Lepisosteus oculatus: one gene and its partner. The protein of the gene in region 2 interacts with the protein of the main gene of each other region in a pairwise test. Links are inferred from orthologs where the notes say so. Each region holds a gene or a part of one and is shown on either strand. Other genes may lie near its edges.

Region 1 (7,691 bases), on a different chromosome or scaffold from region 2:
GGGGGATGGACTTTTGACCCTGGACTGTCCATGACTGTCCAGATGATGTTCAGAGGGAGCAAACCGGCCTACAGTGAAGGACTCCCAGTCCCTGTGCTATACTGTCACATTGTTCTAAAATTGTTTTTAAAAACAGCTTGAGTTGATCTGACAAAAAGGAAGTTCTACCACAAATTTTATCTGCTGACAGGAAAGTTTCAGAAGGTCGTCTTGTAGTCAAATTCGGTCACTAAGCTTATCTCTACCTCTATGAGGGTTTGAAACTAGAGCTCTCTCACTGTTAATATATCTGTTTTTACATACGGTGAGACATTTACTTTCTTTATTTGAATTTGTTTATAAAATTGAAGGTTTCTTGCCCAGACATTGCTAAATGAGTCCTTTAGCAATGTCAGTTATCAAAAGTAGGGGGTTTACAAATACAGCAGTAATGATATAGCAAATGTCGAGAAAAATCCTAAAGCTGCATTATATTTAGAATTATGCCAGAGATGTGGTTAATCAAACAATATAGAACAAGGGGAGAGGTGCAAGATGGAAATCCTTGACTGAACTGCGTTTCCCAAAGGTCTATGAAGAATGATCATCACCCCTGTTCAGGTGGGGGGGAAACGACTGGTACAAAGTCTGCGGTTGGGATCCTGCTGTCCTGTATCTCACTGAGGTTTCACAGGTCTCCTGGACATTGCTACTCTTGGCCACATCTGAACAGGGATACAGCTAATGAGAATAAAACAAAAGAAGACTTGTTTTAATCGTGTTAATGGAGACCAGGCGAATTTAGGTAGGTCAGTTCCAGAGCTGATGTTTCCTGGTCTGAAAGTGTGAGCTCACAGGCCATCAGGACATTCACGCTTGGAGTCAGAACGCAGTGCCATGATCTGGACAGTGGAAATACATGAAGATGGCAGAATGTGTTAAGGTAACTGGGCAGAAGACGTGCAGCCATCATTCTTTGTCTCTCACTGGAAAGGTGATCCTGAAGTGCAATTTCTTGTCTCTTTAGAAAGAGATCATACGGTCCTTTTAAGAGCCTTCTGACATACACAATTGCTCTGTAAACCTTCACAGTCATGCTGTATGCAGCAAAAAAACATCCAGCTGGAGGACCTTTAGCAATCAGCTGTTATCTAAGATAAGTCCATTAAGCAAACCAATCAGACGGCTTTTAATAGAGCGCTATTATTATATTGTCAAAAGGTGTACAACAAGGTCTTGGCAAGCGCTTTCTGCTGGTGTGGAAATGGGAACTGTGTTTGAGCTGTTACTGTGAACAGTTTTATATGTTAAAAAAATCCTTTAGAACTGTCTACCTGATTGAGAAACAGATGCTGCTGAGAGCTCCTCAATCTGAAAGAGGCAACATTTTAAAGTAAGTTCTGGCTGGAATATTCTGTGACTGACTTATATTATACAAGTGAAATCAAAATGTCTTCTGCTATTGGATTCACTTTCTCTAACGTCCTCCTGGAGGAGATTACAATGTCTGTATTAAAACAGACCAAGGACTTGAAAAAAAAAACCTCTATTTGATTTTGTTGCTGAAACCGGTACCGATAAATCTGTTCTGGAAGGTGTGGGACTACAAGCAGAACATCTAGGCAGAGGACTTCCCCTCTAAACAGAGGAAAGTGAAGAACCGTGCAGAGGCTATCCCACAGAGCTGCCTCCACTGCCCCTGGCCCCTGCTGTCCTGCAGTCTGGCTTCGAGCCCTGGTGACTCAGTGTGGCTGCAGAACTGAACACCCCCCTCTCCTTCACTATTAATTCTCCTCCATACTGAGTCTGCTAAACATCACACCTACCTGTGCCTCAAACAGATAAGTAAGGGATAAATGAGATGCACATACCAACAACAGTGAGCAAGATGATCTGTCGTTATCTCTTTTCTTACAACGTTTATGCAGATTTTGTTCTTCAAATTTAACGGTTCCAGAGAGAGGCTTAAGTAAATTAGCCTATTATTTTCTTCCTTCCTCTGAAACAGGTAGATATCTTTCATCAATTGGCACAGCAATTACTCATGAGATAAATAAATATTCCAATTGTGCCCTTCTTCATTTTACATATATTAATGTTCTAAAAGGAAAATGTTATGTCAGGTGTATGTACACTTTATTACATAGAAATGCAGTATGCAGTAGAATGCATTGACATACACATGAAGGCACAGCAAAATAAAAAAAAACAGCATTAGTATTTTTACACGCATAACATTGTAAAAAGGAGATAGTAAATATTGAGCATCAAAAGAAATGTGTTGCATTTATCATTTGTAAATGCAAGAAATACATAACAGTTATTGGGAAAAGTACTATCTTTTGCAGTAGCTCACTGATAGCGAGAAGTGACTTAGTTCTTCAATAAATCAAAGTTGCTCAAGTGTATCATAGTAGGTCATGTGTGGTCTTACGAATTATACCAAAAGTATTTAATCCATATATCCAAAATCGACATACTTTATTTAATGCAACCAGATTGATAGGTTTCTCTTGATTTTCTGCATATGCCATAGAGAGGCAGTTTATTCACAGATCAATTTAAACAGTTAATTATAAGTTAATTTAGAGTTCTTTCACTTGTTCATTTACAATAATTCTAGTGGGTAATGTCTTGTTCAAAAGGAGACCTAAATTAACATTGTTTCCCTAGGATATAATCCATATTTTAAAACTGCTTTAAAACACAAAAAGGAAATCATATTCTAAACTTTTCTAAACAGGAAATACTGATAACACTACAGAGCTTTTCTGTTGACAACATCTGTCTTCATTCTTCATCTTTGACTGGGTTAAACCATGACTATAAAAACAAAGAGCAAAGGCAAAGGGACTACAAAAAAAGCCAGAGAAACAACCCTGACCACTGCTAAACAAATCTGATAGTCCTTGATTCTCAAACAACGTCAGTGCAGAGAACCACCTGCGAATATAGCCTCACAATGAAGGGCATAATAAGCCTGGTGTTTGTATAGCTTTCACAGACTGTACAGTGTGTGCTGATCATATAATGCCACAGTTTGGAAGAAAAATCAAATAGACAAGAACCATGCTTACAATCTCTACAGATAAAGACAAATGTGGAATTTAGTAAGTGGCAGGATAATTACTGTGAGACTAAAGATTGACAACAGACACAAGGACAGAGTGAGAGAGGAACAGCACTATATACAATGCTGTCCCTCTTTCATAGTATCATGAGGCACCACATTACCTAACTGAACCAGACATACATACAGTATAATATTTCTGTCCACACTTGAGATTCTTCACCTTGCATTCGCCTGGGTGATTGAATATTAAATTAATGCATTCTTAACATCCATCATCATCGAGTTCAGGATCAATCATTGTGCTGTAAATAAGTGGCTGCCACGTGGCATAATAACATTATTTTGATGTAATGAATAGGAAACATTTTTTTTCATGTTATAGGAAAATAGGAAACAGTTTTTTTTTCGACTAGGGAAGAGGAAAAACATTTAGGTTGCAAGGACTGCTTGTTGATAGGGAAGATAGCTGGTCCCGTAGCTACCAGATACTTCGAGAAACGTGCACATCTTTCATGTTAATCCGCTTCAGTATACAGGCAAAGTAAAAAAACCCATTGTGTCTCAAAGAGGCTGGCAACTGGTAATTACTGTATTTAGGTCAGGGAAAGCCAGGCTGGTCACTGATTCTGATATATGAAACCAAGTAGTTCGCATTCGTCTAAATATAAATCATTTCAGTTACGAGCAGTTGGGGGGGATGCTTTGAGGATCTCAAACTTGGAGTTACCCATCCACGATTTAGGTCACCCGGTAAATTTAAAAATGTGTTGCGGTTACTAATGGAATATATTAGTCGGATCAGAGAGCCGTCGTCACGTAAGGAATTAGTACAGCCCTACTGTTGAAACTTTTTAAAATAGTTTTCACATAAAGAGAACAGTTATTTTGTGATTACCGTCACCGGTGCTGCAGAAGTAGCAGCACTACTTAAAAAATAAATACAATTTTACAAAGATTGTACAACGGCTCCCTCTTGCGGTACAAATGTGAAGTGATTGTCTAGCCAAAAGAAGATTCAATATCACATTTACTTCCTTGGATGAGTGTCATTGTCTCACAGGACGGTTACAAAATGAAATATTGAATGCCACTGCAACTAAAGAGATCCTGAGGATCTCGCAAAACTCTATGCATATGAGACACATAGCAGAAAAACCTGGAAGAATATGGAAACGCAGCAAATTGCTGATTAATTTCCATTACAACCATAATATAGAAATGATGTGTGGCAATGTCATGTTTCAGGAAAAAAAAACATTTTACTACGACAAACCTCTGACTGTTAGACCTCCAATCCGTAGGGGGAACTGGAGAACATCCTCGTCGAAATCTTCGTCTCGTTTCCCAATGCACTTTGTGCTTTAGCAGTGAGATCATTCAGGAAGCTGGAGTTTCGAGCGTGACGTCATCCCCAAGCGCCGCTGTGGTTTCGCCTGCTGGGTTGCATTGAGATGGGCAGAACTTGTCAACTCTGATTCGACCAGCATTTAAATTGAATTAACTGACAAACAGACAAAAACCAAGAGCTGGATGACCAGAATGAGATGTCGAGGTAAGAGCTGAGCCAAACTCTTTGACTAGAAATCTGTAGAAAAGAAGTCAAAGATTGTGAGCGAGAAAGACAAACAGAACTAAAAAACTACCGTGGATTGTTTTGCTCGGCCTTTCTATGTGATCGCCACCGCACTGTTTTAAGAAGTTTTTCATGGTACATGTTGTTCGGGCTAAGAAAATAATGTAAGCATTAAAAAAAATAACAGTTCCTTGACATATCAGTGTGCGGGAAAAATGAACGCTGTCAATTGTAACAGCGAGAACCAAGTCAACATTATTGTTGCGGTTTAGCGACCATGTTAACTAATTTTAAATTGTATTTTTTAATAATGAAAAGTGTATCTGCTTTTATCGTTGTTATTAGTAATAGACTAGGTACAATAACAGTAAAAACAGTTGTAGTGGTGGAACAGATGCATTGTCAAATTGATGAGTGTGTAATAGGGATGTCTGTGTGACTTCACTCAGGCTAGTTCATCGGGATTTGCACAAGTCTGTCTTTACCGGTAGTACTAGTGGTAGTAAAATGTGCGGTGAAGAGTCCGCCCTCTCCTTTATGCGTCTCGTTTCTGACCCTCATGCTATTCGTCATCGCCCGAGTCTCTGTCTGGGGAAGAACGATTCACAACATTTTTCTGTTAGTCATCAGAATCGGCAGCGAGCTCTCTGTCTTAGCGGTTTACGTGGGTGTAATCAGATTTCTAGTGAACAGTGAATATCACTTCATTCACTACTGTCAAAATCTCAGTGCGGCAGTGGGAAGATATGACTGGAAATCACTGATGAGCCCAAAACAAACGTATGGAAAAGCAGCTCGTGGCGAGCTTCTTGCTTCTGTGAATGTGCAAGAAATGTGACATAACTGAGTGAGTTTTAAGTCATTTTAGGTGCCAAGTAACTTTTTAAATAGTATTTGTCAGCGTGTCATGTTTGTAATTCTTTTGTGCAGTTAAAGCACAAAAGACTGCACAAAAAAAGTTTTTTGCACTAAGAAGTCCCTTACTGTTTAACGTCTGCACTACGTCATTTGTTAAAATCGGGATTTATAGATTATTTTTTTCAAATGGAATTGTAGGAAAGGTAAAATCCGTTAATTAATAATAAAATGTGCTCTGTGTCTACTCCTGACAACTTTTATAGGCTAACTGTTTAATGTATATAATAGTGGGAACACAAATTCAACATTTTAGTTCCTGTTTATCCCATAGGGTGAGAAAGTCACCTGGTGACATATAATAATTAAAGACAAACACCTCAAGAGCATGCTGGAATTTTTATCCTTGTATATACTGTATATACTGTCACTCCTTCCAGAAACAGTAGAAACAATATGCATTTCACATCGCTTAATATTCTGAAGTGATCCTTGAACATTTCTACAGTCAGCAGAAATGAATGTTATTGACCCACATACTGTACCTTGTAAATAGCTTTTTGAATATGGGTCTGTTTTAATGGCTGTGACAAATGGAGGAGAAATGGTACACAGGGACAATTCTGAAGTCTGAAAAGGACCAGTAAGTGAATTTAGAAAAACAATCAAAAAGGTTGTGAACTTGAATTATTTTGTGAGGGTTCGTCTTTTCTCTGCGCAATCTTACAGTCTGTCTGTTTGTGCGTACTGGTTTTCCACAAGGATGTATACTTTCCCCATTACTCTTTCTTGTACACCAATGGCAATACCTCAAGTGACTCTTCCATCAAACTAATCAAGCAGCGGAAGACACCATCCTTGTAGGTCTATTCACAAATGAATATCATAATATGATATTGGTATCATAGAGTAGTAACAAGCACACAAAGCTTAATACCTTCCATACAGTGAAAATGCTGGTTGCTTACTGGAAACATTCTCCAAAACCTCAGTCCCTAGTAATCAATGATGTGGCTATGGGTGTGATAGAGTTCTTTAGTTTTGGGGTATAATGATGTCTAATAACCTTACATGGGACACAGATATCTCCAGTATCACAAAGAAAGCACAGCAGCAAATGTACTTTTTGCCCAAACTGAAAAATTGGGGTCTCTCAGCCAATTGTAATACAGGTTTACAGAGCCATTATTGAGAGCATTCTGACTGCCTCTGTAGCTGTTTGGTTTGGCAATGCGTCTGTCCACTCATGAGGGGAACTGCAGACACACTGCGGCCTTTGGCTGTCAGATGCTCTCTACTGGAGATTCTAGAGCAAGAAAGCAGGCAGGAAAGACTGCTGATGACCCCACCCAGGTTAACCCCTGTTTCAGAAACGTCCCTCAGGAAGACACTACTAGTCTATTAAAACAAGAAACACCTGGTATTTGAACAGATTCTTTCATGGGGCTGCCTTTCTGGTTCACCAAAATTCCTAGTTGTGTGTGCTTTTAGTCATGTCTGTTGTCTTGTTTGTGTATGGCATACAGTATGTAGCATGTTTTTGATGCATCAAGAACACCAGAGGAAATTCCTTGTAAACTAAATATACTTGGCGAATAAAAGTGATTCTGATTCAGATGTGTATTCGTGGCCACAATCACTGCTCCATTGTATGTTACTATTTCTGTATATGTTCTATATTTTCTGTTCATTTTTTTTGAACAACTGATGTGATGTACTAAGGTTTGTTTCAAAAAGATTGAATTACCTGTTGATGTTGATTTAAAACTAAAAGCTTTTTTAAAAGCAAAGGTTGCTCCTTATGTCTGCATCATCCTGTCTAATCGTGGCTGTAGCCACTCTCCTCCAGCATCTTTCAGAGGAAACATCTAGGATAATAAGTAGGTATTATTACTTGACAACGTATTGCACACATTTGTCAAAGTCAGAGAGATTTGCACTGAATGAAATCATGATCATTTTCTGACTGTGGAGTCCTGAAAGGTCATTAGTTTGACTAATGTTCTTTCCATTACAATCTTAACCAGCCTTCCTGTAGGCCTTAAGAGTAGTATAGACTGTGAAGTGTCTTACAATCCTCTCTGTTGATTTTAATCTTATTTCTGTACTTTGGCGTGATAATTTCATAGTCCTACTTTATACTGAATAGGAAAGTAACAGAAGAGGCTATTCGGTTCATTGGCTTCTGATTTGCTGACGGATACGTACTAC
Region 2 (8,734 bases):
ACAGGAGGTGTACGACACCCACTTACCCTTCAGGTTTTTTGGATGATTCTGTTTTGTTCGTGGCATGATTCCTCTGGTCACAGGCGCAGATATGGGTGCGTCATTGCCTTGCTTGCGAATTTTCGGCTGAGGAAGAGTGAAGCCCCCTAGCTCCCACCTCCCCCGCCGCCCCGGGTCACTGTCGGGTCAATGTCGGCTTGTCTGGTGGGAAGAGAAGAAGCAATCCGATAAGCACCTCATCGATGAAACACCCTCATCCTGTAGTGGTCTTTTTCACCAGAACATGCCACATGTGCTTTCCAAAGTGTACAAATGCACAAAAGCATACAGCATTGATCAGAAACAAATAAATTGTTAAATAGTCCATTTTATAGTTGAGGTGACTCAAAAATGAAGACATTTAGATCCCTAATGTATGGATTTAATGGCTTGCACAGTGAAAAGCTGGTTCATATTGCGAACCCAGTAATATAAGGACATTATTCTCTTCATACAGAAAATAACCCTAATAATGAAATCCCTAGACACAGCTTAGTCTTCTTATTTCTTCCCACTTAAAACATGAACATTAACATTTCTGCACCAGTTTTATTTTATGGGGCCTAGAGCTAATGCTTCATGTGAATCAGAGTTGGGCCTGTGACTTCACCATGTGAAAATAATGATTCTGTCCCCATACTGTTTGCATATATGTGTGCAAATTTTCATCCACAGCCACATGCAGCAGAGACCAAGATCCACTGAATCCATTATCTATTGAATGCTGCAGTCAAACAGAAGATCCTACTGTGAATTAAATTAAAGCCTGTCGACTAAACCTGTTTGCTCTTCCTAAAATAACTAAAGAACTGAAAGAACACACTTCTTACAGCAGCTTTAAACAAGAAGTGTTCAATGCAGACTTAATTTGCATTGGAGTAAACGCCGCTAAATACAGTGACCTTGTCTAGACTCGAAAAAGTTAATGAACCAAGAAACTCCAGTGTTTATATAAGTGTTACTTAGGCAGGGACTTACACAGGGCATTTACTATAACTGTCTGAAAGATAAGCTCTCAGTCTTGACCTGTGTTCCCACTTCAGCAACTCAGCGGAAAAAAAAAACAGGTTCTGTAGTACTCTGAAAATCTCTTGGCAGGAAAGGTAATACAAGCAGGCCCTCTCATATAAAATATTAAAAGAACAACGATGGGTAACTGCATCAAGGCTACACAGAATGCAGGGAGAATGAGGGAAAGTTCTTTTCAGATGGGGCTGGGTGGGTGTACAGGTTACAGTACATTATACAGTAATTGCAAATACAGTACCACGCCCTGTGTGTGACATACTGTAAATCTAACCCATGCAGCTTTTGCAAAACTAATGCCGCAGTTAAAGGAATCTGATGGATTTACTACAAGCTGCAGACCTTCTACTGTGCCTAATGTACACTCCTAAAAATACACTCAGTTTTGCAACACAATGGATCTGAACTCCAACCTTTTAATTGTCGGCCGTTCTTATTCCCTCCTTAGATACAATTTATAGCGTATGTACAAACATCAGACAATAGTACTGAACTGTGCCAGCTTCCTTGCAACCTCTCTAATAGTTTTCGAATGAGCCCTGAACATTAACCTCGAATGACAATGAGCCGAATAAAACTGAAAACTAAAAATAGTCATGAACAAACCAATGCATAAAACGCGAGCTGAAAATAATTTTATTTTACATGGCAGACAGGAGAGACGATTTTTTTTTGTTTGCTTTAATATTTGTAAGCCGCAGCAATGACATCATTTCACTAGGGAAACAGCGCTGCTGGAAGGCCAGGGGTTTTACAGAAAACGTTGAAGTCTAAACAACACAAGCAGATGCAACTGTTTTTAATGGAAAATTACATCCCATCTAAAATTACCCGTGTAAACTAAAATTGTACCGGAAGATAAAACAAATGGCCATTTGGGAAATGCTTTCATTTTTAAAGCAATGATTTATTGCAATGCTTTCATTTTAAAGCAAATATTGATAACCGAATTGAAATAGCTGAATGTTGAGTGAACGCTGACAGAACCACCAAAGCGAAAAATGGAGTGATCGGATATCTTATTCATAATTATAAAGGGCAAGAAACACATTAAATGATTTTCGAAATACACACGCCAAATGAGAAATGTTGAAGCAACAAAGCATGGGAAGAGAGGTTATTAAACTTGCGCAAACCGTTAATAATTCTGATTCACACTGATTCAGTTTTTTTTGTGCAAAAGCATCTCCTACAGTTAGAAAATAATCCCACTGAATTAATACAGCAGATGCTACTACTACCGCTGCTAAAATAACAATAACAAGGGAAGCCCATTATGGCAATGGACATGACTGGAGTGATGAGGCATTTTCCTTTCAGCTGTTTAACATACCGATATAAAACACACACACAAAAATGTATTTGTATTTTTGAAAAGACATGAAAGAGAGGCGCTTCCTTTGTCGGTTTGTCGGCGCTGTGTGCAATTTCCACATTCCTCCCCCCCCAAATCCTAGAGCTACGATGGGGGCGGGCAGAGCCCGTTTTGGCACAGGGGCAGCTGTGCAGGACGCACCTGCCCCTGCAGCAGTCGGAGAGGGGGGTGGTAGTGCGCGACAATGGAGGCATAGCAGTCGCCCAATGTTCTTTTTTTTAATGTTGAATTAGACTTGTTTTGGCGTGGTGTCTGAATGACCGGGGCACACGCGTCTGCCCTCCCCGCCTCTCTCCACCACATGCCCGGAGAGCTGCGCAGAGCCGGGCACAGCGCAGACGTCCTCCGTGCATGTCACCAGGCGCGCACGGAAAGCGGTTAAGGGGAGGAGCCGGGGAAAACCCCTCCGTATCAGGGACTACGAACAGGCGCTTCCCAGTTCGTCAAACGCGACACGGCTCGCCAATTCGCAGCAACAAGGCTGCCCCGCACCCCATCCGGAATGAAAAACCCAAACTCTGCCTGAGCCCACCCCGTTTACCCAGCGTGACAGGCTAAAGACAGAAGTCCCCCCCCCTCCGTGCGCTGGAGGAAATGCTGCAGGGAGTCTCGGCACCAAAACAACGCACCTTGTCGGACTGTGCGCTGCGCTAGGCTGCACACTACCGCCGTGGCCCCTGTCCACCTACGGCATCCCTGAGCAGAGCATGCTCAGGTCTCGGATCGTGCCATGCCTATTAGCCCACGGTTACAAAAACACGATAGTTATTTCTCGCAGAGCAGAAAAAAAAACCCGACGCGCGTCTGCGCCCGACTTGAACCTTGTGTACAGCGTCGCTGTAACAGCACGGGCATCCAAAACTGCACCCCCGCATCCGAATCGCAACACGGCGTTTCTTTAAACGAAAATGGCAACGCTTACAAACCTTAAGGATTCATACTTACGAGCGTGAGCTTTATGAATCTCGGGGCTTTGTTTTGTTTTACGGCGAACCTTTACGGTAAAATTGAGAAAGGTCCGCTTTCCCCTTTACCTCCTCTCTCACTTTCTATTGCAGGAAACAGGCAGGCCCACTGACGTCATCGGGGGTCCCGTAACCGCCTCTCAACTGCAGAAAGTCTAAAGGAGGGGGCCCGCGACGGCCGCACCACAACTTTATTGAAACAGCGTTTAGACGCGCTTCTTTGGCTAAACTCATCTTCCCTTCTTTTTGAAAGCCATGTTACATCTTGACTCAAGGGATTTTTTTTTGTTTGCCTTCTCAGAACGCAAATTATTGAATTTCCTAGCGTGTCGTGTACCGCCGTCCCCCCTCGATGCATCCCTTTTGCACATAGTTTTGCACTGACGGTTATCCCGGAGGTTCCTTGTTGTCAGGTCACGTTGTGTCCCTCACTGCAGACTGGGCTTTCCCATTCAGATCTCCCTTAATCCAACCCTTTGCTGTGCAACGTTGTTACGCTCCACTTCGCTTTCATTAAAAATATCCTCTGAAATAGAAACCATTTTCCTTCTGTTGCACAACACATCACCGATCACCAGAATGAATTCAGCAGATTAATGTGCGCTCCAAACCAAAGGTCAAAGATTGTTTTTTTTGTTAATTTTGACCGTTTGTCAGATATCACGCTTTGTCTTGGATATTTTACAGCGTCAGGTTGCAAAGCTCTTATTGGTTTTACGACATCGGCTGTTTTTTTCATGAATGAGGAAGGTAGTAAGATTCTCGTCTTACATGAAATACGGAGTTACAAAGCATTGCGAGAATTATATAAATCACAGTATTTACTGTTCTACAAATTCTCACGAGATTCATGCAGTCTTGGATTTTCCAAGTTTAAATGACTGATACATTTTTAAAATATTACGCTTGTGAATAATGCTGCACATTTTTATTAAACATTGAAATGATCAACACTGTAATACTGTAAATATTAAAAATGCACTTTGCACGCTACGTTCATCTAATGAAAACGAATCCATCAAATGCAATTATGATATAAAGTTTTTTACTAACTTAATTTTGCTATAGATAATAAACATTAATATTATGACTTGATGATGACAATGAACTCCATTTCGTGCGAATGTGCACGTTTTTTGGAGAAATTTGTTGAAAATACAGGTTGTTACAGATCTGCGGTCACCAATTACTTTGTCTTTGCAAACATCATACGTGTTGCAAAATAGAAATATGATTTCCAGAACCAGACCCCAAAGTCAGAGCTCCGCGATGCTGCTCCTAACATTCTTACATGCGGTGGGAGTCATCGTTAGTGATGTTTGTAGGGGAGCAACTTCACAGATCTCAATGCGGGTGGGGCCGTTTATCTGAATTAAATTTGTGAATAGTCACTCATACAAGTGCGCGGAAATAACGCAGAGATACCAATTAACCTACAGTAATCAGTCTGTCTTCGGGCGATGGGAGAAAACAGTGCAGAAGTTGTCTTCATATTTGGGTTATTGTCCAAAAATGTTTTTATCGTGAAAACGATGGTTGAAAATATAATACTTTTTCTGTGCGTTTGGTGTGTTTTGTTCACATACAGTATGGTCTGTACAAAGCTTTCTGTAAAATTATCATTTTATTAGCTCTGTCAGTTTAAAGAACTTTTAGCAGATCAAAATACAAGTGGTGACATTTGTGAGAATTAGAGTTCCATTTTAAATAGTTTTATTTGCATGGAATCCTTCTGTTACTTAACAATGCGCTTGTTAGCTGACAATGAACAGGACGTAATGTAGGAACATTACTGTATATGCAGCACACTACTGTAGGAATGCAAATCATTAATGTGATATTGGTGTTTTTCTTATACTGTCTCTGCATTCTCGCAGTGATCTTCTGTATTGAGCTTGACCAGAATCACCCTTCAAGTTCTTCACAGTGCTGCAGAGATGCTGTCACTCCAGAGGAAATGTTAACAGGCTCCTAAATGTTTGTGTCACTGCAGACTGACAGCACCCCACTGCTCACGGAGTGACTGCTCTCACACGGGCACCTTAGGCATGTTCAGCTGTGGTTACGATGGCACTTGTGTTGCTTATTTATTAAGACATAAAAAACAGAACACCTGATGGGTTTGCATATTCATGTTCAAAACAGAATTGTGAAACCATTTCAGTTAGAAACAAACAATGAAGAAGGAAATAGGCAACAGAGTCGAACAGTGGTTAGGGTTCTAGCCTTGTAACTGCTACGTTGTCAATTCAAATCTAATATCTAAAGCTGAGCGATATATACGATATAGATAAAGATATAGTTCTGGTAAAATACATAACTGAGGACATTGGTGCCAATATAAGTTTCACTAGAAAAAAGTGTTAGTCAGATAGAGAATCTGTTATAAGATACATTCCAGCAAGATGGAAGGATCCTGTTAATGATAGCTGTAATATTTTCACTCTGTCTTTGGGTTTTATCATTCTTCATAGCAAATTCACTAATAAGACCATGCCATTAATAAAATAGTATTATAGCAGCTAAACTATAACCACATCATACATAAGAGACAGAAAACTAAATATTTATGTATTAAATTATATCAATATATTTATTACAAATTGATTAGTGCTGTGTATTTATTATATGTGCTAGACACAATATATCACAGTGCCTAAGTGGAAAAGAAAGAAAAAAATGAGCTCAATAAAATCAATAAACATACTTATTTCTAGTTCTGAGTGTTGTTGTGTTGAGAATGTTTGAAACAGGCTTGTTTTAAATAACTTTTAAATACAATTTTAGGAACTACCAGGCCAGAATTATACAAATATATACTATATTAGCAAAAGGCATAGGCGCAAGAGGAACTATGGAAATGTCTTCAAAGTGTTTTTAGTAGAGTACCAAGTACTCTACTAAAGAGTACCTTACCAAGAAAGGCCGTTCTCATTCAGCAGCTGCAGACTGAAGCATGGAATTAAGACTTTTATCTTAGAATCTGTCAGGATTGTTCCTGCCAGGAAGGGCTTCTGTAATCCTAGAAGGGACAATTTTCCACTACATTTCTATTGTGATAGTAGTAGCAGGAATATTGGGGTATACTTACTTCAATGCAATTAGAGAGAAGACGGTGTCTTTTTGATAGTTGTATCAATTTGGTCCAAAGTTTGAGTCATCCAGCTGTCCCAAGAGTTGAAATTTAGTTTTGCCTCATCCGGGAATCTAACTGTCAGACAGCTTGGTTCACTTCCCATTCCAGCAAAGCAGGGATGAGGAGGGTGGCTGTATGTTTCCTGCTAAAGGTCCACTTTCAAGACCCCCACTGCACTGTGAGGTTAACAGCCCTCAAGGCAAACACGTACCCAGCGGAAGACTGGCAGTGCAGTAGACTTCACAGGAGCCCTGATGAGTCTCCGGGGTCACTGTTATCTGCTATTCAAAGACACCCTTACTCACTCAAGGCAACTCCATCCTGCCTACACCCGGCCATCCCATAAATATCTTTTTGTTCTGTTACACGATGTTGCTGTATTGTGTAGTTTCTCCCACCTGTAATTCAATAGGTGATTTTTAAATTCTGTTCATGGTCATTCTGAACATGATTCAAAATCATATTGTTTTTGCTGATGACTTAAAGAAAAAAGTACATTTTTAAAAATCCATTGCTTATATAATTTTAAGGGTGTGATTTCAGTATATCATTTATGTTTTCATAGTGTGGGATGCGATTTCAGTATGTATATATTGTAAGTCCTTTATCGAGGTAGTGCATAAGAGATTTCAGTATATACAGTAATATCCAGTTTTTCATGTTGTGTTTTAGAGATTTAATAGGCCCTGCACACTTTATACTTTATATCTAAGACCCTATGTGCACCACAAGCACAGACCCATTTCTCTAATGTGTGTTGAACAATGCTGTTGAAGAAGTTTTTTTTTAGGACAAATCAAATTAATTGTAAATAATTTTCTTTGCATAACATTACAATATAATACTAAATATCAGGACGCCTTTGGCATGATAGATAACTGTAGGTCCCTTTTTAAAATCTGATGTATCTTTTTAGTTTTTTGTATATACTGTACAGTAACTGAGTGACTTCTATGCTATAAGCTGGTTAGGGTTTTGGCATTAAACAGATGTATCTGTAGGTAGGGTAGCTCTGCCATAAATAAAGGATAAATTATCTTACATTCTATTCGGGTAAACTCAGCTGTCAGTTTCTGTGCCCTTACTGTATCATTCATTTCGTATACATAAGTAAAAATGGCAATAATAAAAAATCAATCAAACTCTAAATAAACCTCTCAAATGTGCACATATTACACATTTGTTGAATATATTTGTTACAAAAATGATGACATATCGTAGGTCAACACAGACATTAGTAACTTAACTACTTAGATATTTGAACAAGTTTGAACATTCACTCCTGAATAATTACTTTACTTTTTTTGATGGTAGACTGCGTAGGCTAAATAGTAACAGATATAAGAGACAAAATATTTCAAGGCTTTTTTGCTTGTTTTTCTGAAGTCTAAGGATTTTAAGGGTATCCCACAAACCCTGCTGGGCTGAAGATCTGCAGGAGTAAGTCTGATGACCTGTGGCTTATGGAATTACATTAAATGGGTCAGAATGTATTAACATGTGAGTTAATAAGGATGTTGTTCAATTATGTGATTGAAGAGTAATAGATATCTGTGTTTACTAGGAAGGGTACTTGCTTGTCATCTCTAATAACATAATGTGAACAGCCAGATGTGGATCATTAGTTGCATTGGAATCTGAGACATTACAGAACTGACCAAAGAATTCTACATTTTTAGAATTAAACCACAAAAGCAAATAGACATCAAGACAAAAGCATAACTAATATCAATGAGCCAATGTGTGGACATTAAGATTCTGTTAACTGTGGTACAAGTGGAAAATGGGGGAGAGATTCAGTGATTAGGGACAATTCTCCATCCTAAGAGCAGCCTTAACACTGTAACACTGACTTGGTTTAATTTGATATATGGTAGTTCTTTAATATAATTCTTTCACGAATGAGCGAGTTACTGGAGATAAGGAAAGAAAGGGCATTCTCAGGGGATTATTTGCAATATGAAATTGAAAAGGCTCAGCTGAACTAGGCATCTAATTAGAAATCCGCAGTCTTAAACAGAAACCATTTAATGAATACAAACGAGGCTACTTGTATTAATTCTGTGTCCGGAACTTAGTGTCTGTATGCTTTGAGATTTTTGCAGCATGGTCTGTAATGCAGCTTTGGGCTTAGGAGCTAAGAAGGGAATTGTTGAGCTTGAAGTCCAAATTGAGATTGTGCCCCAACATCTA

Evidence for each region.
Region 1: the proteins of hivep1 (region 2) and atxn1l interact in a two-hybrid assay, tested with the Homo sapiens proteins (2 studies listed by BioGRID). The link is inferred for Lepisosteus oculatus from reciprocal best matches to the Homo sapiens genes HIVEP1 and ATXN1L.

What each region holds. Positions count from the first base shown.
Region 1 is NC_090715.1:9,892,185-9,899,875, forward strand, and holds the start of atxn1l (ataxin-1-like), read left to right. Parts: upstream 1-4,457; 5' UTR 4,458-4,604; intron 4,605-7,691. UniProt on the Homo sapiens protein: Chromatin-binding factor that repress Notch signaling in the absence of Notch intracellular domain by acting as a CBF1 corepressor. Binds to the HEY promoter and might assist, along with NCOR2, RBPJ-mediated repression.
Region 2 is NC_090705.1:17,495,524-17,504,257, forward strand, and holds the start of hivep1 (zinc finger protein 40), read right to left. Parts: upstream 3,493-8,734; 5' UTR 3,386-3,492; intron 202-3,385; 5' UTR 67-201; coding exon 27-66; intron 1-26.